7 linked regions of the Macaca mulatta genome follow. The protein of the gene in region 2 interacts with the protein of the main gene of each other region in a biochemical or structural test. Links are inferred from orthologs where the notes say so. Each region holds a gene or a part of one and is shown on either strand. Other genes may lie near its edges.

Region 1 (4,159 bases), on a different chromosome or scaffold from region 2:
CCCAATTTTTGGCTGCCATCTTTCAGGTTTAAAGAGGTGCTAGTGTTGAGTCCCTCCCCAACTACCAAGAGAGTTTCTGTCTAAGCATCTGGCAGGAAAGGCAGATTGCATTAGTTCACATATTGCAGTTTCAAATTAACACATGGAAGAGAAGAACTCGAAGTTCTTTTACATAATGAAAAGTCCACCTTGTGAAGAACATGCCAGTGACCACTTTCCACGGTAATGCTCTATTAACTCTTGTAATAAGCAACATGGTCCAAGCTCTTTGCTTATTAAATGGTTAAACAATTGATAAATACATGTAACCAAAATGGGTTACTAAAAAGTTCTTCAGAAAAACTCAGAACGTTGGAGATTAGCTGCTTTTTGTAGGAAGAGTATATTTTCATAGCTATTATAAAATAGGTGCTCAATATAAAAAATCTGGTTATCACTAATGCCACCAGCCAATACCATTAATTCTGCAAAGGGATTACCTGCTTATTTTTCTCAAATTAAAGTGTGTGTGTGTATATATATATATATGTATATGTGTATATACATATATATCTCTCAAAGCCCAGAAAAGGCTGGAGTAATAAAAAATTATAATTGATTTTTTTACCATGTAAGATCTCAAATATATAATTTAAAATATTTTTAATAATCATTAAGTAACAATGATTCAAAAACTTTCTCTAGTAGAAATACCAGTTCTGCTACACTTTATTCTTCCATTTCACTAAAAAGGGGAAAAGGAATTTTATGCAATGTTTCCAGAGTCGATGTGACCTATTTGAAATAGATGGTAGGAAAAAGAAGCCTATTATCTGTAAATATCAAATTTTCCCAAGCAGAAAAAGAAAAAGCCAGGGAAATTTTGCAGTGCTGCTGACCTAATTCTATCCTTTCTCAAAAAAAGCCTTTCTGCTTGTTTAACAAATATTTGAGCATCTACTACACGTTCTGAGTATGCAAAGATCACTAAGTCTTACTCTTAAAAAGACTAAGGCTGGAAGCCAAAGCTTGTTTAGAATTCTCTTCGAACCCACTTGTATAGTAAAGAAAACTCTCATTCATCCAAACTTTCAAAGTATAAATACCATTTAGACTTTTTAAGAAGCCAGTGCTATTCTAGAGGGTAACGATGTGAGTAGGGACCAGAATCAAACTCCTTAATAATCATAACAACAAGAAGCTATTAAGAGATTATCTTGTCATCCTCATCTACTGGTTCTATGCAAAAAATTTTTCTTGATAAGGAAACCAAAGGGAAGCATAGTCAAAACTGCTACAAGTTGGGCCAGACATGGTGGCTCACCCCTGTAATCCCAGCACTTTGGGAGGCTGAGGTGAGTGGATCACCTGAGGTTGGGAGTTAGACCTGACCTGGTTACCAGCCTGGCCGACAAGGTGAAACCCTATCTCTACTAAAAATACAAAAATTAGCTGGGCGTGGTGGCGCACGCCCTGTAATTCCAACTACTAGGGAGGTCAAGGCAGAAGAATTGCTTGAACACGGGAGGCTGAGGTTGCAGTGAGCTAAGATCATGCCATTGCACTCAAGCCTGGGCAACAAGAGCAAAACTCAGTCTCAAAAGAAACACAAAAAAACAAACCTGCTACAAGTCTTTTCCCAGGAGAAGACTCACAATGACAGGAACTTTTATACTTTGTATATGGAAAACATGCACATACCTACCTGGTATTGCAAATAAGCGTGTTATTAAAAGGTAAATGTCACATTCCTTTTTATTCCTAAAATTGACTTTTGTCTTAAGGGAAATGTTAACTTGTAACATATCCTTTGAAGCCCAAATAAAAACTTTTTGATCAAGTGTAACACCAGACTGAACAAAACTGAGTTACACTTACACAGATATTAGTAAGGAGAGCAAGGAAAAAAAAAAAAAAAAACCCAATACATTTTTTATTATAGAAAAAAAATCACATTTTCAAAATTTAAATATTCTTACTACCTTAGCAAAATCACAAGATAGGTATTTGTCACTTGGCCTCAATAAAAGCAAGATATTCCTTTTTTCAACTTAGATACAAATAACAGCTATCATTGTAAAGGTTTCAATAAGAACAACAAAAAAAAAGCCCCAAGACAGATGTCTCATTGAGTTTGTGATTGTGAACCCAAATAAGCATGTTTTAAAAAATCACTATTATTTTAAAAGACAGTGTCAAGTATCATTTGAGAAAAATACAGTTTAGGAATTGATGCTATTCCATTAGTAAATACAAGTGTAAAGAAATGATAGCATCATCACAACTGTAACAAAAACCCCAAACCCACAACCACATCAGACATTATCCTATTGCTCATTACAGTACTTCTTCCATATAAATAAGGTTCATATAGTAAGTAACACACCTGGATTTCCATACTGAGTCCCACATTCAGTAACCTGTCCAGAAAAATCGCGATGCTGCTGCCCCTCTTTGTATATCAGAGTCCTGCCATACTGGTTAAGTGTAACCATTTAGCAAAATCACTTTAAATATTATTCCAAAAACTGCCAGCTTGGATTTTCTACTAGTTTATCCTCAAATTTAAACTATTCTTGATCAAAAAGCCCTACTTTGTATGACAGATTAAAATTAACCAAAATGTAGTTTAATCATTTTAAGCGTAGTGCTTCAACACAGTAGGTACTGAATACTTAAAATACTCGATTCAAACTGGAAAAATCAAGCTTGAGTTATTCATAACCTTTCATCATGGTTGCGAGTGTTCAAAATTTATTTTCAAGAATTCAATGCAGGAAAGAGGTTTCATAGTCGTGACGCCAGAGTTTTCTGCATGGCTGACTCATTACATTAACATTATAGCGGCTAATCCTGAGAAGAGTACTATTTCTACAATCAGTATCCTATTACATCTCTCTTACATAAAATATGTAAAATTCCTTTATCCATAGATGTACATTTAAGATAACCAGCTATAGAGCTACCACAAATGTTCTAACCATAAGTAAAGCAGTAATACTATTAGTTTATCTTTTCAATAATACTAAAGTCTGTTATTTTTAAAACTGAACTGTTTCATCATCATTATTACAATTACTTTACATACACATATCTATAATTGTCTTAACATCTTTTTAGTTATGACACCATGAAGACTTTTAAATCTGAACACACAATGTTTAGAAGGAAAAGATAAACCGAAGAAAACGTTGAGAGTAATGTAACTGATACTCATAGGAACCTTACAGTATAATGAAGCCAGATTCAATTGATTCTCACCAGTACATCATTGCAGATATCTCTTAGCTCCGTCTCAATTTTCTCTCTGTATTCTCGAGCCATCTGCTGTTTTTTCTCAGCACCTTCCGTCTTTTGTTCAATACTTGAGACGACCCTCCAAGATGACCTACGGGCTCCTACAACATTTTTATAAGCAACTGAGAGAAGATTCCTCTCCTCATTGGATAATTCAGCTCCTTGCTCAGTTACAGACTTCATGCAGGCTGCCATGTCATCATATCGCTCAGCCTGCTCGGCCAGTTTGGCCTTCTGAACCAGCTCATTTTTATCCATGACTGGATGTTCTGCAGGGGGGAAAAAAAGGAGTATTTAAAATTTTTCCCATCAAAATAAACAGACTCAAAATTATACCTGTGGTAAATGAGTTTTTTAAACCTGAAATCTAACTGCCTGTGGAAGACTGTTCACATGAAGAATTAAAATGCAGCTTCACAAAAGGATAGTCAGAAAAGGAAAAAAAATTCAGCATACTCAGCATCAGAGGTAAACTTTCAGCCATTAACACATCAGTGTAGCAAAACTAAAATTTGTTCAGAAGATACAGATTTCACATAAGGTCAAAATTACTTTCAAAAGCTGCCTCAAAAACTTACCCCTAATCTTACTTGACCAAAATCTCAACTCATTTCCAATACCACTAAGTGATCTGAAATTAAGCAGCTTTTCTTCCATAGTAAAAGCATTGTTTACAGAGAACATCTGGATTTCTATCATATTTCCAGAATCATAATTCTTGTCAGTTTAACTCATGTCTTTTTACTTTCATAATACTTTCGTCAGGAGTGATTAAATTTTAGTTTTAGTGTTACCCCCACCCCAAACCTACTAGATCTCTGCAACATTTGCCAGCCAATAATAGCATAACAATTTGGGGGGAGGAATGACCAAACTGTTTGTT
Region 2 (4,159 bases):
CTAAATTTGTAGCACTACTTGATACTGATCACCAATATAAACACCTAAAAATTTTTCATAAATTAAATTTTCATAAACTGTATACCATTGTAAGCCAGATATATTCACAATTTCCTTTTCTGTGGTAAAGAAAAGTCACATTACGTATAAAAAAGATTTAAAGTTAATGACAGAAGGTTTGTTTGTTTGTTTGTTTGTTTGTTTTTGAGATAGAGTCTCACTCTGTCACCCAGGCTGGACAGCAGTGCTGCAATCTCGGCTCACTGCAACCTCCGCCTCCCAGGTTCAAGTGATTCTCCTGCCTCAGCCTCCCGAGTAGCTGAGAAGATATTTTTTAACTGTCAAGAAATAATGTATTTTCCTGAAAACACATTCTTCTTCAGAAAAGGTTTTCTTAATTAATTGTGGCTAAGGAAGTAGTCTCATTTAAGAAGTCATTATGCTGCAAACTGCAAAAACATAGCTGGTAAAATTGTCATCAAGATTTGGCTGCAGATGTGCTGAAAGGTAATTTCCTCTTTCTTACTCTTTTTGAAAGCCGTAGTTTAAACTTACTGTGTATATATATGAATATATATAAATGTACCATTTAAAGACAGAACATCAACTTTCAAATTACTACGTACAGAACTAACTTTTCTCAGTTCCCATTTTTTTAGGAACTAGTGGTTTGTATCAGTTCTATTATTAAAGGGCAAAATATCTTCATGGTTTGAATGCAAAAGTACTCATCAAAAATCTACAAGTTAACCAGTTTTATAATTATATGATTATATTATTAAAATAACTCCTGACATGTTACCTTAAATGTTTGCTTTCTAAATCAAACTTCTGAGTTTAAAGCTCTCTATAAATGTAAATCATTGACTCAAGGAAAAATATCTGTATTTCAAAGAATTTCACAAGAGTAGCCTTGGATTGCAAATTCAGTGTATCAAGGGAAGGTTTTTATGTGTATAGATAAATACTCAAGGCAGTTTGTTTTTACATATCTATCATACTTACTGGTGAACACCAAGGACTTCCCAATCATTTCCAACATCCTGGGGTCCCATTAAGCTTTGCATTGTACCCGGGCAGATTTCTATTAATTTGCACAGAAGTGACCAACCCACCTGAAAACAAGAAAGACATATATTCACGTGTTTTAAAGAATGTTAATAGAACATACTGAGTCAAACATGAATCTCTTCAGTCTTAGTGGAATATATGCTTATCTCACTTGTAAATAATTGTTATAAAACAAAATGATACCCTAAAATGCTTACCAAGAAACAAAAGCAAGCCATATCCTTAGGATACACCTTTCTCCAAAAATCAGACCAGAAAGACATACAAAAAATATAACATTTCGGCTGGGCATAGTGGCTCACGCCCGTAATCCCAGCACTTTGAGAGGCGGAGGCGGGTGGATCACGAGGTCAGTAGTTAGAGACCAGCATGGCAGAGGGTGAAATCCCGTCTCTACTAAAAACACAAAAATTAGCCAGGCATGGTGGTAAGGTTACAGGCATCTGTAACCTCAGCTACTCGGGAGGCTGAGGCAGGAGAATCACTTGAACCCAGGAGGCAGAGGTTGCAGTGAGCCGAGATTGCGCCACTGCACTCTACCCTGGAGGACAGAGCAAGACTCCATTTCCAAAAAAAAAAATATATATATATATATATACACACACACACACACATAAATATATATAATTTCTAAATTTTGAAGAACATAGACACGCCTATTGTCTAAGGCAAAATAAAATAAACTACAAAAAATAGTTTTAGAGGTTGTACCAAGATTATTAAGTGCAAGAACGGCTATACTGGATCCTTAGTACGTTTCTTTTCTTGTTTTTTTTTTTTTTTTTTGGTTTTGATTTGTTTTTGAGATAGGGTCTCACTCTGTCACCCAGGCTGGAGTGCAACGGCACAATCACCGATCACTGCAGCCTAGAACTCACGGCATCAGGTGATCCACCCAATTCAGCCTCCCAAGTAGCTGGGACTACAGGTATGTGCCACCACACCCAGCTAATTTTTAAAACATTTTTGTGAAGACAGGTCTCTCTCTATATTGCTCAGGCTGGTCTCAAGCTCCTTGGCTCAAGCCTTCTGACGTGGCCTCTCAAAGTGCTGGGATTACAGGCGTGAGCCTCCGCACCTGGCCCTTAGTAGGTTTTAAGTAATAGCTACCTGACAGAATTTCCTCCACATATTTAAATTTTTAATTATAGGAAAAAATGAAGTGGCTTAAAATGAAGGATTAGGGCAAGTTGAAAATTTTAGTAGCAAAATGTAAGTTATCAGAATGGCTGCTCCCCAATTAATGAAGCTAGAATAATAGAGGCAAGAAACGTGGCATTTTTAGCAATTGACTCTACATCTGATAGGAGAAAAAAAGAAAGGGCTCTATAACATAGACAGGAGGTAGAACTCCTCAATGGCTCCCTCTAGATTTCTCTAGAATGAATTGATAAGGTCTAGAGATACAGACACCCCTAGTAGGCTCTTTCACATTTCGAAATAAAATATGAAATTATGGATGCATTTTAAGTATATCTTCACTCAGTCTGTTTACAAGATGCCAACTTGCCTAAGTTGCTCTTTACCTCTGAAAAAAAAATTGAAAGTCCTGATTTCAAACCACAGATTAAAATTAACCTACTCCTCCTATTGTAGACTCCTCTCTAAATGTAAAGGATCTCCAATTCTATTATACTATAGAACTATACTTGACATGGTCAAAAAAAAAAAAAGAAAGTGCATTTATACACACACACACACACACACACTCACACACCACCCTCTAGAGACTTATGGAAAAGTACCTAAGTGTGATGTGTAATAAATACCAATACAATAGAAATACTGAAAGTAAGATTCAGTGTGAGTTGAAATTACTCAGAGAATATAATATGAAGAGGGAGAGCTTGAGTCAGATTGTATAAGAACTGTTGAGTGGTGAGGAGAGTAGGCTGCTACATAATAAGGAAGCCGCTACAGGAAAGAGGCTATTTTGGGATAAGGCTGGATGCATAAGTAAAGTTGAACATTGCAAGGAGTTGAATGACAAGGTGAGAAATCTATATGCATCCAATAAGGAATAATGGCACAAGTTTCTTACCTGTTTGCAGGAGTAAACAAGGGTTATTTTAGGAAGATAAAAATGATTACTCAAGATCTCTTTACAATATTACTTTTGGATCTTTTCCAGATTAAACAGAAATTGCTTTATTTCGTCATTACTTCCTTTTACATAATTTCAAATTGCTTTCAAAGGCAGCAATTTCTGACAGCTATTTCTACCTATACTACTTAAGTAGGACATCCTCCTCCACGTAAGCTGAACAGACATTGACAATCCAGCTGTCATAGAAACCAACTATTTTTGTGCTTTCATAAAATACATCAAGACTTTTTTCCGAAGTATTTAAGAAAATAACATTCTGAACAGCTTCTGGTGGTGAAAAAAATCACATAGGATGCCAAACTCATCCCTATACCTACAAAGCTGACTCAAGGAAAAAACCTGTTTTGTTCTGGTTGGTGAAGCAACAGCATAAGTAAGTGCTTTGCAAAAAGATTCAGGCAACTGAGCTCTCCAGTACTACATGGAACTTCTGTGATGAAACAGAATCTCTGGCAGCAAAGCAGAGGTAACAATTGATCCATTAATCTATTCAATTAAAAGCTTATCTTTCAAAGAGAGAAATTTCCCATCCTGCACGGTTACAATACAATTAAATTGGTAGTTTTACTTTATTATAATTATTCTAAAAACTCAAGCATGTAATTAAGGCACAACAGGAAAGAGTCTAGGGGTTAAAGAAAAATTTTTAGCCACTTTCATTTATTTTGCTCCCCTTCTTCAAGGTTGAAACCGTGAGAATAAAGAGATGTAAAATTTAGGAGCACAGTGAAACGATGGGCAGGAAAAGAAAAATATAAAGCAGCTTAACTACCAATTTTCTAAAGACTGTCATTTATGTAGAAGCATTAATAAAATATGAAATAAACTTCGAAAATAAAACTGACAGCCCGGAATATCATGTTAAATGGCATCTAGAAACAAACCTTAATCTTTATTTTAAATAGTAATTAACAATTACAATTAAATTAAATGAAGGAGTAATTTACCTTAATACCTTAAATTCATCATTAAGAGTTTTTA
Region 3 (4,159 bases), about 16 Mb from region 2:
CTTATAAGGCTGTTACCTCATTTTACAGATGAGGAAATGAATGCACACATATATTTAGTGACTTGCCCAAGGTTCATAGCCAATAAGTAGAACTGGAAAACAATCCGGAGAATTGGACTCCAGAGCCTGTATTCCTCTGCATTGCCTCCTGTATGATTTTCTGTCTTTACTATCTAGTAAGTGGGATTACTGAAATTTTTAAACCCCAGTTTAACTCCAGACCCACTAATCGTGGTGACAAAATAATGTTTCCCCACATATGCCACAGAGTATAATGTCTGTGAAGTCACTAGGATCTGCTTTGGAAAAGCGAAAGATCAATTTGAACAAGCAAAGTACAACTCTCAAGCAGTGCTTAGGTTTGGGAGAGAGGTTTTTGCATGCTCTGCCCATGCTAACTCCCCTTTGAATTTCATAGCTCCTTTCTGCTCAGAGTCAGGATGATGAAATGTATTCAGATTTAGACAATTAGAATCTCAAAGTCCCAACTCTTCTCTCTGTTCCCTGCCCCACCAGCAGCTTTCTTAGCCCTCTTAGAAGATAGAGGAGTTGATTCAGTGTATTCTTTCATCAAATATTGATCGCTTGCAGACTTATCCCTTATACCATCCTCTGGAGACTCCTGCATGTCTTTAGAAGGTATACCTTTCTCTGCCTCTAATTTGGAGGGCTACAGCTGTTTGGCCCCTTTGGTGTGGAGGGTAATCTAATCCCTAGGCACCAGCAAGACAGCTGCAGGTTGAGAGTAGGTCAAGCTTACTGACTCTTGATAGGCTTTCAGATTTGGAAAGATGGGAGAAACAAAGTGAAAAAAGTTGTTAATGAAACAAGGAGTTGATAATGAATGTGATCTGTTGGTTGTATTTCTCTCCTTCAACCAAAAATGAGAAAGGATAGATTTTCTGGCAATGGGACCCTGGTTAGATCTTTAGAAATGTCTTATCAGGGAGACCAGTCATATATAAAAGATGTATCAGCATCTACCCTTCTGCCCTTAGGAGGGGTGACTCTTATCCCACACCCCTAGAGTGAATCTCTCATTTTGACAGAGAGCTAAAGAAAAAGGAAAAGAAGGCCAGGCATGGTGGCTCACGCCTGTAATCCCAGCACTTTGGGAGGCCAAGGCGGGCGGATCACCCGAGGTCGGGAGTTCAAGACTAGCCTGACCAACATGGAGAAACCCCATCTTTACTAAAAATACAAAATTAGCCAGGCGTGGTGGTGCGTGCCTGTAATCCCAGCTACTCGGGAGGCTGAGGTGGGAGAATTGCTTGAACCTGTGAGGCAGAGGTTGTGGTAAGCCAAGATCATGCCACTGCGCACCAGCCTGGGCAACAAGAGTGACGTCTCAAAAAAAAAAAAAAAAAAAAGGAAAAGAAGAGCACAGCACCAGGATGCCAAGGAGATACTGGGGATCTAGGGTACCTGTGGGTGGATCTGGATATTCTTCAGGCCAACTAAAGGCTGATCACTTTGTGTGACTCAAACAAAAAACCTTGAAGATATGGTGGGGAATTACTGGGGAATTAAAAACTCTCAGTTTTCAGTCTCTCTATTTCAGTTCCCTTGGCAGTTAGAGATTATGTGGTAGGGCAGACTCCAGAAGCAGTTCTTATTTTGCTGTTGCCAACTCTTACCACTGAGGGTCAGCTGCCTGGGACCTTCTCAGAGGTATAACCTGTCAATAGCAGATGACTGCAAGAGCTAAGTCCTCATAGGAGCAAGGAGATGAAGAGATTCTATCCTCCTCTGAAAAGCGATTGCAGCTTCAATGGATGTATGTCTAATTCACTTTTTTTTTCTTGCAGGAGTGTTGAAGCCTGGAAATCCCCTCCCCTTCCCCCCCCCTTTACAGCATTCCCCTCCCTCCACCCTTTCCCACTCTGATAATCTGGCCATGACTAGCAGAAGCACAGCTAGGCCCAATGGGCAACCCCAGGCCAGCAAAATTTGCCAGTTCAAATTGGTGCTGCTGGGAGAATCTGCAGTGGGAAAGTCAAGCCTGGTGTTACGTTTTGTCAAAGGGCAGTTCCATGAGTACCAGGAGAGCACCATTGGAGGTGAGTGTCTCGGGGTAAGAGGAGATTGAATGTTTGGTAAGGGTTTTGTCTTTTTTTTTTTGATGGAGTCTGTTGCCCAGGCTGCAGTGCAGTGGCACAATCTTGGCTCACTGTAACCTCTGTCTCCCAGGTTCAAGCGATTCTCATGCCTCAGCCTCCCAAGTAACTGGGATTACAGGTGCACACCATGGCGCCTGGCTAATTTTTGTATTTTTAGTGGAGAGAGGGTTTCACTGTGTTGGCCAGGGTGGTCTCAAACTCCTGACCTCAGGTGATCTGCCTGCCTCGGCCTCCCAAAGTGCTGGGATTACAGGCGTGAGCCACCGCGCCTGGCTGGTAAGGCTTTTGAAACGAGATCTAAGACCTGATTATGGAGCTGGCCCTCTTAGTTGCATTCTTTTCCCCAGAAATGGAAACCCTTTATAAAAACAGAAGCCGGGCCCAGTGGCCCACCACTTTGGGAGGCCAAGGTGGGTGGATCACCTGAGGTCAGGAGTTTGAGACCAGCCTGCCCAACATGGCGAAATCCTGTCTCTACTAAAAGTACAAAAAATTAGCCGGGCATGTTTGCGGTTGCCTGTAATCCCAGCTACTTGGGAGGCTGAGGCAGGAGAATCACTTGAACCCGCGAAATGGAGGTTGCAGTGAGCCAAGATTGCGCCACTGTACTCCACCCTGGGCAACAAAAGTGAAACTCTATCTCAAAAAAAAAAAAAAAAATTGCGGTAAAATAGGCTGGGCATGGTGGCTCACACCTATAATCCCAGCATTTAGGAGGCCGAGGCAGGCGGATCACTTGAGGCCAGGAGTTCTAGACCAGCCTGGCCAACATGGTGAAACCCTGTATCTACTAAAAATACAAAAATTAGCTGAGCGTGGTGGCACGTGCCTGTAATTCCAGCTACTCAGGAGGCTGAGGTAGGAGAATTGCTTGAACCCAGGAGGTGGGGGTTGCAATGAGCCAAGATTGCGCCATTGCACTCCAGCCTGGGTGACTAGAGCGAAAATCCGTCTCAAAACAACAACAACAACAACAACAACAAAAATTAGCTGGGCATGGTTGCACATGCCTGTAATTCCAGCTACTTGGGAGGCTGAGGCAGGAGACTCGCTTGAACCCGAGGCGGAGGTTGCAGTGAGCCAAAATTGCGCCCGTGCATTTTACCCTAGGCGAAGGAGCGAGACTGTGTTTCAAAAAAAAAATCTGGTAAAATAGAGGCTGGAACTAATGCAAAATACAAAGGGTTTCTGTCTTTCTCATCTTTGCTACCTTTTCCCTGCTACTACCCCAAAATAGGGTGCTAATTCAATAAAGGATCTTTTATGAGAACCTCCATATTATTCCCTCCCCTTGTTATTTTTATTTATTTATTTATTTGTTTTTGAGATTGAGTCTCCCTCTGTTGCCCAGACTGGAGTGCAGTGGTGCAATCTTGGCTCACTGCAACTTCCGCCTCCCAGGTTCAAGTGATTCTTGTGCCTCAGCCTCCTGAGCAGCGGGGATTATAGGCACGCACCACCACACCCGGCTAACTTTTGTACTTTTAATAGAGACAGGGTTTTGCCATGTTGGCCAGGCTGGTCTCGAGCACCTGACCTCAAGTGATCCACCCGCCTCGGCCTCCCAAAGTGCTGGGATTACAGGCATGAGCCACCATGCCCGGCTGCTTTCCCCTTTTTTTAGTCTTCTTCGAAATGTATTCCTGGACCTGCAGCAGATTAGATGAAAAAGTAACAGCCAAATAATATTAATAATGATGGGACTTGCCACCAAGCTTTAAAATCTTCTAATTAATTATTATTTTTTTTGGATACTGAGTCTCACCCTGTTGCCCAGGCTGGAGTGCAGTGGTGCAGTGGTTGCCCACTGCAACTTCCGCTTCCCCAGTTCAAGCAATTCTGCTGCCTCAGCCTCCCGAGTAGCTGGGATTACAGGTGTCCACTACCATGACTGGTTAACTTTTGTGTTTTTAGTAGAGGCGGGGTTTCACCATCTTGACCAGGCTGGTCTCGAACTCCTGACCTCAAGCCATCCGCCTGCCTTGGCCTCCCAAAGTGCTGGGGTTACAGACGTGAGCCACTGCGCCCAGCCAATCCTG
Region 4 (4,954 bases), on a different chromosome or scaffold from region 2:
CCCAGCACTTTGGGAGGCCGAGACGGGCAGATCACGAGGTCAGGAGATCGAGACCATCCTGGCTAACACAGTGAAACCCCGTCTCTACTAAAAAATACAAAAAACTAGCCGGGCGAGGTGGCGGGCACCTGTAGTCCCAACTACTTGGGAGGCTGAGGCAGGAGAATGGCGTGAACCCGGGAGGCGGAGCTTGCAGTGAGCTGAGATCCGGCCACTGCACTCCAGCCTGGGCGGCAGAGACTCCGTCTCAAAAAAAAAAAAAAAAAAAAAGAAATTCCTAGAAGACAGAAGGCTACAAATGGAAGGAGGGGAATGAAGGGGTGAGAGGGAGGGATCCTGGGGTCAGGTGCCACCTTCACCTTGCTAGGTAACTTTCACCAAGTCACATCTTCATCTGCAAATGGAAGACAGCCTCTTTAAAGCTCAAAGTAACTCTAAAGAGGGGGGGTCTGGGCTGGGCGCAGTGGCTCATGCTTGTAATGCCAGCACTTTGGGAGGCCAAGGTGGGCGGATCATGAGGTCAGGAGTTCGAGACCAGCCTGGCCAACGTGGTGAAACCCTGTCTCTACTAAAAAAAAAAAAAAAAAAAAAAATACAAAAATTAGCTGGGCATGGTGGTGGGCACTTGTAATCCCAGGTACTCAGGAGGCTGAAACAGGAGAATTGCTGGAACCTGAGAGGCGGAGGTTGTAGCGAGCCGAGATTATGCCACTGCACTCCAGACTGGGTGACAGAGCGAGACTCCATCTCAAAAAAAAAAGAGGGGGGGTTTGTGGGGAAGGTGCTGAGGCCGGGAAACTGGGATCTGAGTGAAGGCAAGCCACAGTCTGCCCACAGTTAACATAATTTCTTTCTTTCTTTCTTTTAAGATAGGGTCTCGCTCTGTTGCCCAGGCTGGAGTGCAGTGGCGCCATCACAGCTCACTGCACCTTGACCTCCTGGGCTCAATCAATCCTCCCATCTCGGCCTCCCAAGTGGCTGGGTCTATACGGGTAAGCCAGTATGCCCGGCTAATTTTATTTTATTTTTTATAGAGATGGGGTTTTGCTATGTTGCCCAGGCTGAATTAACGCCACTTCTTGATCGGCTGGGGCACAAGAGTTACCCTAAAGTTTGGCCTTGGAGTTGGGGAGGGGGAAGAATTCAGAACCATCTGTCTTCAGAGGCTGGATGCTGTCACTGCAGGAGCCATTCATTCATTTGCTTCTTCGAGATGGCCTCTGGTTACGGTGATAACCCCTTATTGTCTAATTCTAATCCTCAACCACCAGGGCACTAGCCCAGGAGACAGCGTCACTCCTGCTCTAAAGACAGCAGGGCTCAGAGAGGGGCAGTGTATGTTCAAGGGCAAACAGCAATTGGAAACCAGACGTAACGATTTCCAGTCAGTTCTCTCTACTTTACATCAGGCATATAACTGTTTTATAAAGCACAGCTATCCTGGGTGCAGTGGCTTATGCTTGTAATCCCAGCACTTCGGGAGGCCAAGGTAGGTGGATCACAAGGTCATGAGTTTGAGACCAGCCTGACCAACATAGTGAAACTCATATTTACTAAAAATACAAAAATTAGCTGGACGTGGTGGCGGGTGCCTATAGTCCCAGCTACTAGAGAGGCTGAGGCAGGAGAATTGCTTGAACCCGAGAGGCGGAGGTTGCAGTGACCCGAGATAGCACCACTGGATTCCAGCCTGGGCAAAACAGCTAGACTCCATCTCAAAAAATAAAATAAAATAAAATAGAATAAAATAAAATAAAATAAAAAAAGCACAGCTCCTGGAGGGGGGCAAGAATGGAATCAGCACATTATCGTGGGGTTCAGGGAGAAAACATGATTCTGTTGAAGTGACACAGTAAAGCAAAGGCCATTCCCTACGTTTTCGTGACTTGGAATAAACTCCTTAGTGACCGTTCCCCCATTTTCCCCATCCCTAGCAGGGCTACAGAGCTCCCAGGCCACTCAGACTGGTGTTACTCCCCGGTCTAACCTTTTCATTGTGGGCCAGGACTGCTTTTGTGGCACTGAGAGAGGTCAGTTCCACTTCTGCAGACGGCACAACTGAGATGCACCAAGCCAATTCTGTTCAACCACAATGTGGGCTGGCCCTACGGGAAAAGCTGTTCTAAAGTGACAACCGGAGTCTTGGGCCCTTTGATAGGGAAGTCAAGGCTGTCTGTGGCAGTGGCTGATTTAGTTGCTCGCTGAGGCTTTTATCTTGCATCTTCTTGCAGATGACAGGTTCCAGGGCAGGCAGTGCTGTCACTTGTCATTACTGTCATCCTGGAGCAGGATGAAATGTGGGCAGGGAAAAGGTCCTGACTCCTCTTATCATTCCTTCTAGAGGAAAATACACTTATGAGGGGAAGAATGGTCAGGGAGAGGGGTTCAACTTCTGAATACTCCAGAGAAAAGAGCAGGAATGGTGTGGGTTACAGTTCCGGCTCCAAGGTGCATTAGCTGAGCTTGTCATCAGCTGGGAGTGTGAGGTGGCATCTCTCTAGGATAGCTAAGCCTCGAGTTTTGGGTTGAGACACAGCCAGGTTCAAATTCCATCAAATCCCATTCTCACCACCTGCAGACTGTGTGGCCTTGGGCAAGTTCCAGGCCCACCCTGAGCCTCAAATTCCTCATCTGTGAGACGGGCTCAAAACAGCACTTAACACCGAGAACTGGAGAGTGTGAAAATGCACGGGAAGCACTTGGCACATAGTAAATGCTCATTAAGGTGAGATGTCACCGTCTTTTTCCCATGGCCAATTCCCCATGACTCAGTTTCCACTTCTGTAAGGCAGGAGCCTCAAAAGAACCGCTTTGAGGGCTGCTGCTAGGACAGATCGAGAGGACGGGCGCGAAGACCCCAGCCCAGGACATAACACTCCCTAACGAGCGGGCTGAGGGTCGGAGCCTCAGTCTCCCCATCTGCAAAATGGGCACCTGGTCTCCCCCACCACGGCCCAGGAACCTCCGAACGGCGGTACAGGCGACTGCTCTTCTCCCCTTAGGCCCCCTCGACCCTCTCAGCGCCCTCGGCCAGTCCAGCCCGGTAGATCCCTCAGCCCCAGCCCCTCAGGGGCGCGCCCAGCCCGGGCCTCTGGCGCCCCCAGCCACTCCCCGGTCCCGCTACCTATGGTGGAGATAAAAGTGGAGTTGAAGGCGTCCTCGGAGAAGCGGAACAGGACACAGGTCTTCCCCACCCCCGAGTCCCCGATCAGCAGCAGCTTGAACAGGTAATCGTAGGTCTTCGCCATATTACACTCTCTCCCCGACGGGAAGTGCGGCCAGCGCCTCTCCACTGGCCACCAGCACCGTCCATCAGCGCCGAGCCCGCCCCTTATTGGCTCCAGGCCCGCTGCGCGTCACCGCGGCCGACGCCCGCCCCTGCGTCCCGCCAGTCGCGGGGAGACCTGGGGAGGGGGCGAATGGAGCGCGGAGCCGGAAGCAGCCCGAGCGCACCTCCCATTGGCCGGCACTAGGGAGAGGACGGGCTCTGATTGACCAGCAGTGAAGAGTCGTGGGGCTTCAAATGGGGACGAGGCGGGGGCGTGGCATTATGTGGCCCCCGCCTTCCACCCCCTACTCGGGCGCCCCGGCCCCGCCCCACTACAGGAGAGGGAAGGCAGGGAGCGTCGCCAACGGCTCGCGCGCCGGCAGCCTGGGGGGCGGGGCTTGGGGTGCGTGCGCACGAGCGCCCGGAGTTCCGTTAGGCGACGGCAGAGGGCGCAATCCTGTACTTGGGGCGGGTATCTCTGGGTCCCGCCGTCACAACTCGCGCAGGCGCAATAGGCCCCGAGGCGAGCGCGGGAAACCATGGTAGCGCTCTCAACCTGATCTGCGGCCTCCGAGTCGGGGCAGCGGGGGCCGACGGAGGAAGGAGAGAGGAGACACTGTATACTCGAAAAGTGACCCGGGCCGGGCGCGGTGGCTGAAATCCCAGAACTTTGGGAGGCCTAGGCGCGTGGATCACGAGGTCAGGAGTTCAAGACCAGCCTGGCCAAGATGGTGAAACCCCATTTCTACTAAAAATACAAAAATTAGCCGGGCGTGGTGGCGGGCGCCTGTAATCCCAGCTACTTGGGAGGCTGAGGCAGAGAATTGCTTGAATCTGGGAGGCGGAGGTTGCAGTGAGCCGAGATCGCGCCTTTGCACTCAAGCCTGGGCGACAGAGCAAGACTCCATCTCAAAAATAAATAAATAAATAAAAGTGACCCAAGACGAGTTCCGAGGTCTGCGGCCTAGCGACCTGCTTACAGATACCCAAGGCCTCCGCCACCTGAGCGGCTTCACCGCCACAAGCTATGCCCCGAAGCGCGCGCCGGCCTCCTCAGGGTCCGCCCTCGGCCGCTTTAGGAGTTGTCCGGGCCAGCCCGGGGGGTTTAGAACAGTGAGGATGCTTTAGAACAGTGAGGATGCTTGTTCCTATCTAGGGGCCAGGACTCTCAACACTGAAAAAACAGGCCGGGGCTGTGGCTGCCACCTGTGATCCCAGTGCTTTGGGAGGCCAGGAGTTTGAGGCTGCAGTAAGCGGTGATCGTCCCACTGCACTCCAGCATGGACGACAGAGCGAGAAGCCTCTCAAAAAAAGAAAAAGGCCGGGCGCGGTGGCTCACGCCTGTAATCTCAGCACTTTGGGAGGCCGAGGCGGTCGGATCACGAGGTCAGGAGATCGAGACCATCCTGGCTAACGCGGTGAAATCCCATCTCTACTAAAAATACAAAAAAGTAGCCGGGTGTAGTGGCGGGTACCTGTAGTCCCAGCTACTCGGAAGGCTGAGGCAGGAGAATGGCGTGAACCCGGGAGGCGGAGCTTTCAGTGAGCCAAGATCGTGCCACTGCACTCCAGCCTGGGCAACAGAACAAAACTCCGTCTCAAAAAAAATAAAAAAGAAAAAGAAAAGAAAAAGAGGAGAGATACATTAGGAAAATCGGGCTTGCAGCTGGGTGTGGTTGCTCAGGC
Region 5 (4,159 bases), on a different chromosome or scaffold from region 2:
GCACAGCCCAAGGCCCCAAGGAAACAGACACCCCTTTTGGGGATGGAGGGGGCGTCCCCGGTTCCTTCCCAGGCGCTGGGGATGAAGGGCCAGGCCTGCTGTGGGCAAGGTGAACCCTTCACTGCAGCAGCGACCCTGAGGCCGGGGTGCAGGAGCAGGCATTGGATGGCGGAGGGCGGTGGGGAGACAGTTCTGCCACTAATGTGAGGGGGTCCCTTCTGCCACGTGAGGAGTGGGCACCTGTGATGGGCCTGGGTGTCCCTGGAGGGCCCTCAGCTGGTGAGGAGGGGAGAGGGCCCTGGAGACAGATGCTGCATGCTCTTGGGACTTTGTGCTGCGAGCACTCCAGAAGGTTCTGGGCCATTGAGGACGTGGCCCTGACAGGCAGCGGCTGGTTATGCAGCTCTGCATGGCCCTGACCCCTCCCGACCTTGCCCCCCATCCCCACTGGGGTGTGGGAGGTTTCGCCTGGGTCCTTCAGCTCTGCTTCCTAGGGAGGAGCTCGGCTCCATGTCTGGGGCACCCCGGTCCATGCAGTGTGGGTCCTGCACATGCAGGTGTGGTGGCTGGCTATGTCTCTGCTGGCTGGAGGAAGGGTGAGTCCTCGAGCTGCTGGGTTCTGCAGTGCCCCGTCTGCTCGGTGCTGCCAGGGGCCACCACTCTGCCTTCACGTCCAGGGTTATGGTGACCTGAAGCTGTGGCCGTGAGGCCGGCCTATCCCCGCAGACAGAGTCCCAGCCCCAGCTGTGCTGAGGCGGCCGCATAGCCCTTCCGCACCCAGATTGGCCACTTTCTGGGTCTCTGGAAAGGCTGAGGACAGGGTCAGACCTGCCAGTGCTGAGGCCTGGCTTGCTGCTGGGTACATGTGGGTTGGGGGCCTGGCCATACCACCCGCTCCCTGCTCTCGCTGCCTGGGCCCAGCCAGCAGCCCGCGCCTGGGGAGGTGGGACGGAGCACCTGTGGGCTGCTGAGACTGTGTCTCCCTGCAGGCCTGGCCCTGGCGGAGTACGACCAGCCCTACGGCGGCTTCCTGGACATTCTGCGGGGTGGGACGGAGCGGCTCTTCACCAACCTCAAGGACACCTCCTCCAAGGTCATACAGTCCGTCGCTAAGTGAGTGTGAGGCTCCAGAGCCCTGGACCTGCCGTGTGCTCGTTCCAGGCTGCAGCCCCGGCGCTTGCTCCCTGGCCGCGGTGGAACAGCTGGTCATCAGGCCCCACAGGCGCCCCTGAGGCAGTGGGACAGCATCACCCGCTTCTCCCAGGGAGTCGGAATGAGCCCAGCACCCCACAGAGCCGGGCAGATCCCTTTCCATTGACCGCCTGGGGGGCAAGGCCCTGCTGGGGAGACGCCTGTGCCCGCCCCTCCCTTGCTGTGATGACGCCCCTCACTCTGGGGCCTTCCTGGGTTCCCGGGACTCTCTGGTGTGAACTGGGTGAAACAGCTGTGGTGGCGCCTCACTGAGCCAGTCCCCTGAGTTAAAGCCCTAGTTACTCAGACTTAGGCCAGGTGGGTCCCGGCCTGTGGTGGGAGAAAGTCTTCCTCTGGGTGGGCTGTCCAGGGGCGCGTCTGTGTGGGAGTGGCCCCTGACATCGGCCCACAGGCCCGGCAGCCTCTGCTCACAGAGCACTGAGAATGTTCCAGAGTGCGGCCCCTCTGCATTGCGGGGTCCACATGCTGGCTCTTCTGGAGGAGCTGGGTGCCCGGGAGCATGCTGCACTGCTCATCTGGCCCGGTGGTCGCACCAGCTCAAGGGCGTCGTGTGTGTGTGTGAGCCGCGTGCACCTGTACGCATGTGCGCGAGTGCCTGTGAGTGCGTGTGAGCCGCGTGCACGTGTACGCATGTGCGCAAGTGCCTGTGAGCACGTGAGCCACCTACATGTGTACGCATGTGTGCGAGTGCCTTGTGAGCCGCGTGCACATGTATGCCTGTGCGCGAGCCGCCTGCACGTGTACGCATGTGCACGAGTGCCTGTGAGCTGCATGCACGTGTACTCGTGTGTGTAAGTGCCTGTGTGTGTGAGCTGCGTGCATGTGTAAGCATGTGTAGGAGTGCTGTGTGAGGGCCTGTGTGTGTGAGCTGTGTGCCTCTGTGTGTGCTGCATGTTTGGGTGTGTGAGCTGTGTGCCTTGTCCCTGTGCAGCTTTTTGTGGAGAGAAACTTGTTCTTAGTGGGCCGTCCCCAGAGCAGGGCGTGAGCTCGCTCACACCTCTGGGTGCCTCCTCTGTGACGTCTCCTGCCTGAGTTGTGACTGATGGAAGATCAGAGGCAGCTCTGTCTGGTCCCAGCGCACTGCCCACTGGGCCCAGGAGTGTGGCTCCTGCAGGGTCCTGACGGGTGGCACTGCGTGTGGAGTGCCAGCGGGGCCAACCATGGACCCATGGGGATGAGCGATTCTCCAGCATCATCTTGGTGATAGTGATGTTGGGATCAGAGTGGAAACGGACAGAGAGGATGTGGCAGCAAAGCCATATGTGAAAGTCAGCAGGAACAGTCACTTTCAGTGTCAGTAGAAAGGGATGGATGTCGGGCCCCAAAGCACCCCAGACTGGCTGGTTCCCCAGAAGACTCATGGTCTCCTCGGCCACAGTGCATTGTGGGGACAGGCAGAGCGGAGTCAGCAGAGGGAGGAAGCATGTGGGGTGTCCAGGGCGCCAGGCACAGCTCCAGGGTCCTCCTTGGGGGACTGCAGGCCACCCTCCCTCCCCAGCAGCTGTGGGGATGGTGGGAGCTGCTGTCTGCCAGAAGCCTAAGGCTGCAGGGGCTGGTCCTAGACATGGCTCTGCTGGGACCCGTGGGTTCCAGGCCCTAGGAGGACGCAGTTTGGCTTGAGCGGGTGCTGCTTTCACGGCGCTCAGGCACAGCCAGCTGCTGCTTGTTAGGGGATGGTGGGAACTCTCCCCACACCCCCAGGTGCTAGCTGAGGGCAGCCCTGCTGTTTTGATCTGCTCTCTGTTCACACCATGTGCTTGAGGCAGAGGAAGCTGCATAAACTCGTGTTTGTAAAGTTGACTTGGAAGCCACGGTGAGTTCTGGCCGGGCCTGGAGGCTCAAAAGATGGCTTGGCACGGTGACTTGGCACGGTGGCTCATGTAATCCCAGCACTTTGGGAGGCCGAGGAGGGAGGATCACTTGAAGATAGGAGTTTGAGGCCAGCCTGGACGACATAGCAAGACCCTGTCTCTACAAAAATAAAAAAACTAGCTGGGCAAGGTGGCGTGCCGCTGTGGTCCCAGCTACACTGGGGGCTGAGGTGGGAGGATGGCTTGAGCCCAGGAGGTTGAGGCTGCAGTGAGCTGTGATTGTGCCAGTGCACTCCAGCCTGGAGTGAGCAAGACCCTGCCTCAATTTAAAAAAAAAAAAGGGACAGTGAGTTAATTTGTGTTTCTGGCTCTCCCCAAGGAGAAGCCTGGGAGTCAGGACCTGGGTGGCCGCGAGCCCCTGGCTGCCCTGGTGCTTGGTGTTCTCTGGAAGCTGGGGCGTCGGAGCCTGAGCCCTGTGTCTGGGCCTTGGTTTCTCTCCTGTCAGTGTCCAGGGGAGCCCTAACACACACACCCCCTGGTACACGTGCCTGAGGCCAACACAGCCAGGTGCACGGGGCCCCCGCAGGGCTGCTGGGGTGGGTGAGATGTGCGTGGATCCTGTGGCACTCAATGCCCACCTTTGCTTAAGGCGTGTCAGCTCGCTCTGGTTGCCGCTGCCCCCCGTGGTACAGGATCTGTGCGGATTTCACCATGTTGGCCAGGCTGCTCTCGAACTCCTGACAGGTGATGTCCCCGCCTCGGCCTCCCGAAGTGTTGGGATTACAGGCGTGAGCCACCGCACCTGGCCCTTATTTTTGTTTTTCTGCTGGTGATTAGATTATGGGTCCAGTAGCCATGCTTCATGTGGCCTGTTTGTCTCTTGCCCAGCGTCCTGTGCTGCAAAAGTGGCCGAGCGTCAGGCTCACCGTGCCTCCCGGTCTTCCCTTGTTGCTTTGGAAGACCCACATCCTAAGTCAGCACCTGCTTTGTGGGTTTAGACAGCTTTTAAAATGTTTGAATGCACGGAAGACCCACGTCCTAAGTCAGCACCTGCTCTGTGGGTTTGGACAGTTTTTAAAATATTTGAATGCAGTCACTTTCAGGTAATGGTTTGGTCGTGTGTATTTGGGTCACTC
Region 6 (4,159 bases), on a different chromosome or scaffold from region 2:
TTATCTCCAAAGAGCAAACCAGTAGGTAGCTGAGCAGAACCTGCATGTGATCTCCTACCCCTTAATGAAAAATGGAATCTAATTACTAACAGACATAAGCAATAAAACCCCAGAAATCCAGGCCTTTACTGATACCACTGTCTAGGAGTTAGGTCTAGATGCCTACTCCCTGTCGGATCTCTCACACTAAACAACAGCAATAGTCAGTCAAAAAGCTGGTTTTAATGAGGTGAAGCCTCATAATTCATATCATGGTGAAGTGAAAAACAGAGGTAGAGAAAAGAGATCAAAGTAAGTCTACATGGTACACAAGTAGGCTAGATGAAGTTCCTAAAGCAGTCCAAAGACCAGAATATTTCCAATTATAAGAGATCTATGCAAATCAGTCTATAGGCGATATAGAAAGTTCTGCCAAGATAAACAAAACAAAAAAAGAAAGGAGAAGAGAATCTCTGCATCTGAAAAAGGCTAACCACATTTGAAAATACCATAATTTCAATCCAACCTTGCCCCAGGGCATGTCATCATTGCACACACGTAAACCCCCCTATACAAGATGTGTCAAAGAAGAAAGAGCTCCATGATTGTGATGGCATTTACGTGATCAAAGAAACTTCTTTTTACGTTATTGTTCTCCCTGGACTTTGAATTGAAGGGTCACCTACCTCCCGAAACAGTGCGCCATAAAAGGTGACGGTGAATGGACAGTCCACCGTCCTCATGGAAATATCCAAATCCATCAGTAGCCTTTTCTGTTCCTGGCTATTTACTGTGGCTCGAATCCGCTGAATGCAAATGCATGGAAAATTTATGGTTACTACTCTGAGGATGAGGCAGGCAGGGACCTGAAGGAGTCCCATCATGAAAATAGTACAGTTCATAACACAACTTCTAGCAACAACATTGTGAATATCCACCCTAAGTGATTAGCTATCTGTAACACATGAAAATAAGGAAGGCTGTTACTCATTTGATTTCCTGAACAGTCTTGGTAAGAAACAAATTGATAGTATGTTTTGGAGAGTGACAAAATATTTTGGAATGTATTTCCAAGTTACAAAAACAATCTGGTTTACTGTATTATGTCTGTTCAGTGCAAAGAGGACACAATATTAAGGACTTTGCTGCTTATCTGAGGTCCCAAGAAAATAAAAAGCCAAAAGCGCTTCTTTGGGAACAGGTAAGAGTATTTGGAGGGAAAAGTAACTGTAAGAGAATTGGTACAGCTATAGGAAACGGAAGGAATTAGAGAGAAATAGAGAAACCGTTCATTCTTTATCCCAGTGCTTCTGTGGCAAGAAAAATCTGTCACACTAGCAAATGTAGCCTTACAGAAACATGATTATGTCATTAAATGATAGGAGAGATACAATATCACTAGGCCTTCACGCTTTTTGCCTACTTAGCAAGTCAGCAGAAGAACAGACTGAAAAATCTACAAGATAAAAGTATTCCCATTCTTCAAAAGCAAAGGGATCCAAGTCCCTTTGATTATTCCTAACGATGGCCCAAATCTATTAACTCAACTAGAGATGTTAATTCTTTGTGATCCTCCCAGCATCTACTCAATAATATGAAATGATTTTAAATTTCCTTTCATAGCTCAAAAACTACGTAGATTGACCCTAGATATATTTTACCCTCCTTTTTCCACAAATGGAGACAATTTTCTCTCCCAATTCTGGTTTCTTGATTTTCAGGGGCAACTCTTTAAAAGCAACAAAATATAGAATAAAAGAGATTTATGAGTCATAACAGCCAAATGCAATACGTAAACTTTCGTTGGGATGCTGATTTGAAAATCCAAAAGGACAAAACAAACACACACACTTTGAGATGATCAAGGAAATTTTTACTTGGACTGTGGATTAGATGAAGGAATTATTATTATCATTATTATTATTATTATTTGAGATGGAGTCTCGCTCTGTCATCCAGGCTGGAGTGCAGTGGCATGATCTTGGCTCACCACAACCTCCACCTCCCGGGTTCAAGTGATTCTCCTGCCTGAGCCTCCCAAGTAGCTGGGACTGCAGACACGTGCCACCATGCCCGGCTAATTTTTTGTATTTTTAGTAGATATGGGGTTTCACTATGTTGGCCAGGTTGGTCTCGAACTCCTGACCTCGTAATCCACCTGCTTTGGCCTCCCAAAGTGCTGGGATTACAGGCATGAGCCACCATGCCTGGCCCATTAATTATTTTTAAGTGTGATGATGACATGGTAGTTTTGTAAAAATTTAAAATTGTGAAAGAATGGATGGAGGGTGAGTTAAGAGTTAAAAAACAAAACAAAACAAAAAAAAACCAACAAATAAAAAGTAGATACAACTCACACCAAGGAAGCCTTTTCCAAAATACCTTTTGAGGAAAATATTCTTCCCTCCAAATAATCTTTTATGCTTTACCCTACGGAAGATGGTTTTGCTTCTATTAAAAGGGCTGGTTGACAATTGAGATGGACAAATGTATACACAGCAGATAGAAAACATTTGGGAGAATGTCAACTCTACCTTCACTGCCATGATCTGCCCGCTGGGCACGTGCCGCATCTTCTCCACCACCCCGTACGCACCTCGTCCCAGTTCCATTATAGGCTCTAGGTCATCTGCCTTCACCTCAAAGTTCTGCAAGAGAGAAAAGGAATAATGCAATGGGAAAGAGAAAAATAAACAGAACAGAGAGCACCTTATCTTCTATCTCGTTTCTCTCAATATTCTGAGGATTATTTCTGGGCCAGAAGATTTTCTAGCATGTCAAAGCAGCCTCTGAAAGCAAGAAGCTACAAGAAGGGCCAAGAGATGTCTAGGAGCTCCCACGGGGGTAGCCCACCTGCTTGTCCCAGGCAACACAGAAACACAACTTGGATTCAGCTTGCTTATGTCTCAGTTGAAGCTATTTCACTGCAGTTCTTTAGCCATGACCCTTCATTGTGTCTGTAACCCACTATTGACTGATGGCAACTAGATTATGTCTGAGCTTTGAGAAACACCGTCCCAAGAGAACCATCTACTCTCTTCAAATGCCTTCCATCAAAACCACAGTAGCCTGATTTCAATTCAACATTTTTTCAAAATAGCAAAAACTTTGCATACCACTTCCCTTTAAATGCAAATGTTTTTTGACTCATCCCCTGACAGCATGCTAGGGGAAACAAAGCATACATATAAAATGGCCAACGTATTAGCTGGCAGACGTGATTTTTTCTTACCTGATTTCCAATAGAAATGCAAGCCTTGGAGTCTAAATCTCGAGGTGGTCTAAGAAAGATAAGGGGGAAAAGAATAAACATAAGCTAATGAGTCAATTATATCCTTCCCAAATCACACGCCACTGGGGGTATTTTTCCTTAAAAAGAAAGTGGAAGTTCATGAGTAAACTGAAGCAGCATATGAGTGTGAATAAGAGGAGATTTGAAATAAATTACATTTGGGTTTAAATTACTTAATCTCTTTGGGGCTCCATTTCTTCTTTCACAGGGGGATATTAATATGCCTACATTGTGAAGCAGGAGTGAGTATTAAATGAGATAATACAACTAAAATGCTTAGCAGAATGTTTGGCATACAATAAATATCTAATTCATATGTGTGATTATATAGATCAGGGTGCCTAACTCCCAAGCCACAGACTAATACCAGTCAGCAGGAGATGAGTGGTGGGTGAAGGAGAGAAGCTTCACTTGTACTTGCAGTCACTCCCCATCGCTCACATTACCACCTGAGCTCTGCCTCCTGTCAGATCAGCGGTGGCATTAGATTCTCATAGGAGCACAAACCCTACTGTGAACTGTGTATATGAGGGATATAGGTTGCGTACTCCTTATGAAAATCTAATGCCTGATGATCTGTCACTGTCTCCCATCACCCCCAGATGGCACCATATAGTTGCAGGATAACAAGCTCAAGACCCTCATTGATTCTACATTATGGTGAGTTGTATAATTATTTCATGATGTATTACAATGTAATAATAATAGAAATAAAGTACACAATAAATGTAATGTGCTTGAATCATCCCGAAACCATCCCCCCACCCAGTTCATGGAAAAACCGTCTTTCAAAAAACCAGTCCCTGGTGCCAAAAAGGTTAGGGACTGCTGATACAGGTCATTGTGCTAGAGTAGTAAGTCTCAAGCTTTATCTTTCATCCAAGAGCA
Region 7 (3,909 bases), on a different chromosome or scaffold from region 2:
TCCTCCTGTTTATAGCATTCAGAACTTTCTTCCTGGGACCCAGCTGCATTTGTATGCTCTGAAGGTCCTCATCAGAGCAGAGCAGCAGAGCTTCTAGATCAATCTGCTCTCTCTTAAAGATAGGCAGGAATTCTTCCAGGTGCTGAGACAGCAAGAACACTTCCAGGGGCGTGGCATCGACCACATCTTCCTCCCACTCCACTTCATCCTCACCCCATGGTAGATCATCTTTGAGGCTGTTTTCCTCTTCCTCTTCATCAGCTATACCCTCATCAGTCTCTGATGTTCCTTGTGTTTGAAACAATTCACTGGGCAGTTTAAAACCCAACTCCCTCTTGCTATCTGAGATGTCTTCAGGACTCAATATCCTGTTCCTTCTAAAAACAATACTTCCTAGACCTGGACGATTGAGAATGGATTCATGGCGCACACTGCTGTCCTCCTCTGCTGACAACTGGAGCTTCTCTTTGAAGTCCCCTGAGAATGAGTCTTCCTCTTCCTCTCTGAACACTTCCATCACGTTCCTCTGCCCACTTCTGCCTTCCTTCCCCACCTGTTCTGCTGTATTGTTGTTCTTTTTGAACTTGATCTTGAAAGTATCTTTAATGCCCTTAGATAGTGACCCGAATGTGCCAGGAGCAGAAGCATTTGAAGGGAATGACCTGGAGAAGGTACCCTTGGAAGAAGAGACAGTCCCAGACTCCTCCTTGCTGTAGGTGCGGGCCATCTTATTTTGGTGCTTCTCCTGGAGCCTCTCACACTCTTTGATCTGCCTCCTGGCATTCTTCTGAGCCTGCTCCTTCAGCCTGGTGACCTTCTTGGGGTTCATGATGTTCTGCGCAGTGGCAGCCTTGTCCAGGAGAGCAACACATTCATTCTGCTCCCTGCTGGCAGCAGCATCCAGCGGAGTCTGTAAGTCATTATCCAGGGCAAAGATGTTGGCACCAAAGTTGACCAGGAATGAGACGCAGTGGGCATGGCCATTGGAGGCTGCAAAATGTAGAGGAGTGTTTCCCCAGATGTCACACCTATCAGGGTCCCCTCTAGAAGAGAAAATACAAAAAAATAAATAAACATGTTGGGCATTTTTTTCTGAATTGGGCTCCAACAATTCAAAACAAAAATAAAGAACAAAAGGCATGTTAATGCAAACATGTTCATCCTGACTTGACATTGTTGTAAGATACTGGCTGCAAGTCCAGCTATCTTAGAACCGTCCCATCTTAAAACCACATGGCCAGAAACAGAGTCCATCTCTAACCTGTGTCTCCTTTTTGTTTGTTTCTTTTGTTTTGTTTTGAGACAGGTTCTCACTCTATCTCCCAGGCTGGAGTGGAGTGGTGTGATCACAGCTTATTGGCAGCCTTGACTTCCCAGGCTCAGTTTATTCTCCCCACTCAGCCTCCCGAATAGCTGAGACTACAGGCATGTACCATCACACCTGGCTAATTTTTTGTAGAGACAGGGTTTCACCATGTTGCCAGGTTAGTTGCAAACTCCTGGACTCAAGCCATCTGCTCACCTTGGCGTCCCAAAGTGTTGGGATCACAGGTGTAAGCCACCACACCCGGCTGTGTCTCCTTTTTAGAAGCAAGAAAAACTTTCTAAGAAATTCGCCAGCCAAACAACTTTCTTGTCTCATTGGCCAGCACTGGGTCACATGCCTAAGAGATGTGAAACATAGTACTGTGTTTAACTTAGATCAATTGGATTTTGCCCTGAAACTAGGCATAGGATTGTTCAATGGCTCCTCAAGAAAATAATAAAATCAAAATCCTAATTTGTAGCATGTGCCAATTTCTGTGGTGTAAATACATCCACCATGGCAGATTTCAAGCTACCAATGTGACATCACTAGACACAGAGTTTGGAAGAGATCCACAGTAGCATACCATTATCAACCATTTCCACCAGGTAGATATAATGGACATGAATTACCTTAAGAGATAGGTAAGAGTGAAAGGTATTAAAATAAGTAGAAAGTGAGACTTTTGTGTAACCTTGTTAATATAATTTGTTAAATTAAAGGTTAAACTTTTTTTTTTTTTTTTGAGACGAAGTCTTGCTCTGTCGCCCAGGCTGGGGTACAGTGGTGCGATCTTGGCTCACTGCCTCCCAGGTTCAAGCAATTCTCCTGCCTCAGCTTCCCGAGTAGCTGGGACTACAGGCACCCGCCACAGCACCCAGCTAATTTTTGTATTTTTAGTAGAGACGGGTTTCACCATGTTGGTCAGGCTGGTCTTAAATCCTGATCTCAGGTGATCCACCCGCCTCAGCCTGCCAAAGTACTGGGAGTACAACTGTGAGCCACCACACCCAGCCTGTTATTTTATTTTTAAGAATGGCTATGTTCTCAGAAGCTCAGGCTTATAGTAACCTATGATTGAACCACTGTACTACAGCCTGGGCAACACAGCAATACCCTGTCTTAAAAAAAAAAAAAAAGGCTAGGCTCAGTGGCTCATGCCTGTAATCCCAGCACTGGGAGGATGAGGTGGGAGATTTGCTTGAGGCTGGGCATTCAAGACCAGCTCGGGAAACACAGCAAGACCTGTCTCCATTAAATATTTTTTTAAATAAAAATAATAAAAAGTAAAAAAGAATGGCTATGTTTAACTGCCAAACTTTCTAAAATTTAGAAATAACTGCCAACAAGCTGGTTCCAGCATGCTACTGCTACCCTCCCGAATTGAGTCACATGTGGAGAAATAAATAACTGAACCAAACTCAGTCCCCATCAGCAGAAAAGAAGAAAGAAATGGATGTTGGGGAGGTAGCAAACAGTCCCTGTTATAAACATTTATTCATTAAAAGGGCATTACATCTCTATTTATTTCTCCACTTACTTCCATATGACTATAGGTTCATATAAGTGTGTCATTCTACAAAAGTTTAAGGAGGAATTGAAGATACTATTAGATGGTATTAAGGCCAGAAACCCAATGCCTGGCACAGAACAGGGACATAGTAGGTGCTCCAGTATTTGCGGAATGAATGAAAACCTATTGGAATCCTGCTCAAGGCAGCAAACCGTCCTCTCCTACGAGGACTTGAGTGACAAACAGGAACAGATGAAAAGTCGAGTAACTTTTTTTTAATGATGTCCAGAGCCATGCACCACTGCTGAGAACCCTAATACATATACTAAGGGGTCCTTCCTTTGCCCTAGTCTAGACTCCAAAATCAGGATCTCACTAAACTCTGGCCAGCCTGGCCCCATGGAAAGAGGACAGTGAGTCTGAGAAGTCCTCTTAACATTCCCAGGAGGTAGAAGGCAGAAGCAGAAGAGAAGATCTGCACCCTTGAAAATGACCTGTTAGTGCGCCATGACCCTTCTACTAGTTCCTGGCTGCTCAAAGTTTGGTCTCCAGACCAGAAGCATCACCTGTGAGTTTGTTAGAAGTTCAGAAGACTCTCACGCCTGAAATCCCAGCACTTTGGGAGGTCGAGGCGGGTGGATCACGAGGTCAGGAGTTCAAGATCAGCCTGGCCAACATTGTGAAACCCTGTCTCTATTAAAAATACAAAAATTAGCTGGGCATGGTGGCATGCACCTGTAATCCCAGTTACTCAGGAGGCTGAGGCAGAAAATTGCTTAAACCCAGGAGGCGGAGGTTGCAGTGAGCCAAGATCACACCACTGCACTCTGGCCTGGGCGACAGAGTGAGACTCTCTCTCCACCCCCGCACCCCCCAAAAAAAGTACAGAAGACTCCCAACCAGACTTATTGAATCAGAATCTACACTTTAGCAAGATCTGCAGGTGATTCATAGGCTCACTAAAGATTGAAAAGGACTTCACCGGTTTAAGGGAGGAGACCACCCCTCATATTGTCTTATGCCCAACTTCTGCCTCCAAAGAAAGAACATGTGAAAACTAAAAGTCAGAAATGAAATCCACAGGCAGACA

What was found.
Region 1: the proteins of LRRK2 (region 2) and YWHAZ interact on a protein array, tested with the Homo sapiens proteins (3 studies listed by BioGRID and IntAct, with this or other methods). The link is inferred for Macaca mulatta from reciprocal best matches to the Homo sapiens genes LRRK2 and YWHAZ.
Region 3: of the proteins of LRRK2 (region 2) and RAB5B, one has a biochemical effect on the other in vitro, tested with the Homo sapiens proteins (2 studies listed by IntAct). The link is inferred for Macaca mulatta from reciprocal best matches to the Homo sapiens genes LRRK2 and RAB5B.
Region 4: of the proteins of LRRK2 (region 2) and RAB8A, one has a biochemical effect on the other in vitro, tested with the Homo sapiens proteins (2 studies listed by IntAct). The link is inferred for Macaca mulatta from reciprocal best matches to the Homo sapiens genes LRRK2 and RAB8A.
Region 5: the proteins of LRRK2 (region 2) and GAK interact on a protein array, tested with the Homo sapiens proteins (3 studies listed by BioGRID and IntAct, with this or other methods). The link is inferred for Macaca mulatta from reciprocal best matches to the Homo sapiens genes LRRK2 and GAK.
Region 6: of the proteins of LRRK2 (region 2) and MAP2K6, one has a biochemical effect on the other in vitro, tested with the Homo sapiens proteins (2 studies listed by BioGRID). The link is inferred for Macaca mulatta from reciprocal best matches to the Homo sapiens genes LRRK2 and MAP2K6.
Region 7: the proteins of LRRK2 (region 2) and ANKS4B interact on a protein array, tested with the Homo sapiens proteins (2 studies listed by BioGRID and IntAct, with this or other methods). The link is inferred for Macaca mulatta from reciprocal best matches to the Homo sapiens genes LRRK2 and ANKS4B.

The regions. Positions count from the first base shown.
Region 1 is NC_133413.1:111,303,882-111,308,040, forward strand, and holds part of YWHAZ (14-3-3 protein zeta/delta), read right to left. Parts: intron 3,546-4,159; 5' UTR 3,535-3,545; coding exon 3,241-3,534; intron 1-3,240.
Region 2 is NC_133416.1:47,107,857-47,112,015, reverse strand, and holds part of LRRK2 (leucine-rich repeat serine/threonine-protein kinase 2), read right to left. Parts: intron 1,116-4,159; coding exon 1,006-1,115; intron 1-1,005. UniProt on the Homo sapiens protein: Serine/threonine-protein kinase which phosphorylates a broad range of proteins involved in multiple processes such as neuronal plasticity, innate immunity, autophagy, and vesicle trafficking.
Region 3 is NC_133416.1:63,132,168-63,136,326, forward strand, and holds part of RAB5B (ras-related protein Rab-5B), read left to right. Parts: intron 1-1,808; 5' UTR 1,809-1,897; coding exon 1,898-2,060; intron 2,061-4,159. UniProt on the Homo sapiens protein: The small GTPases Rab are key regulators of intracellular membrane trafficking, from the formation of transport vesicles to their fusion with membranes.
Region 4 is NC_133424.1:16,585,150-16,590,103, reverse strand, and holds the start of RAB8A (ras-related protein Rab-8A), read right to left. Parts: upstream 3,262-4,954; 5' UTR 3,249-3,261; coding exon 3,125-3,248; intron 2,775-3,124; exon of another isoform or gene 2,183-2,774; intron 1-2,182. UniProt on the Homo sapiens protein: The small GTPases Rab are key regulators of intracellular membrane trafficking, from the formation of transport vesicles to their fusion with membranes.
Region 5 is NC_133410.1:956,255-960,413, reverse strand, and holds part of GAK (cyclin-G-associated kinase), read left to right. Parts: intron 1-989; coding exon 990-1,113; intron 1,114-4,159. UniProt on the Homo sapiens protein: Associates with cyclin G and CDK5. Seems to act as an auxilin homolog that is involved in the uncoating of clathrin-coated vesicles by Hsc70 in non-neuronal cells. Expression oscillates slightly during the cell cycle, peaking at G1.
Region 6 is NC_133421.1:79,169,202-79,173,360, reverse strand, and holds part of MAP2K6 (dual specificity mitogen-activated protein kinase kinase 6), read right to left. Parts: intron 3,261-4,159; coding exon 3,212-3,260; intron 2,628-3,211; coding exon 2,514-2,627; intron 786-2,513; coding exon 666-785; intron 1-665. UniProt on the Homo sapiens protein: Dual specificity protein kinase which acts as an essential component of the MAP kinase signal transduction pathway.
Region 7 is NC_133425.1:21,170,396-21,174,304, reverse strand, and holds part of ANKS4B (ankyrin repeat and SAM domain-containing protein 4B), read right to left. Parts: intron 1,044-3,909; coding exon 1-1,043. UniProt on the Homo sapiens protein: As part of the intermicrovillar adhesion complex/IMAC plays a role in epithelial brush border differentiation, controlling microvilli organization and length. Plays a role in assembly of the complex.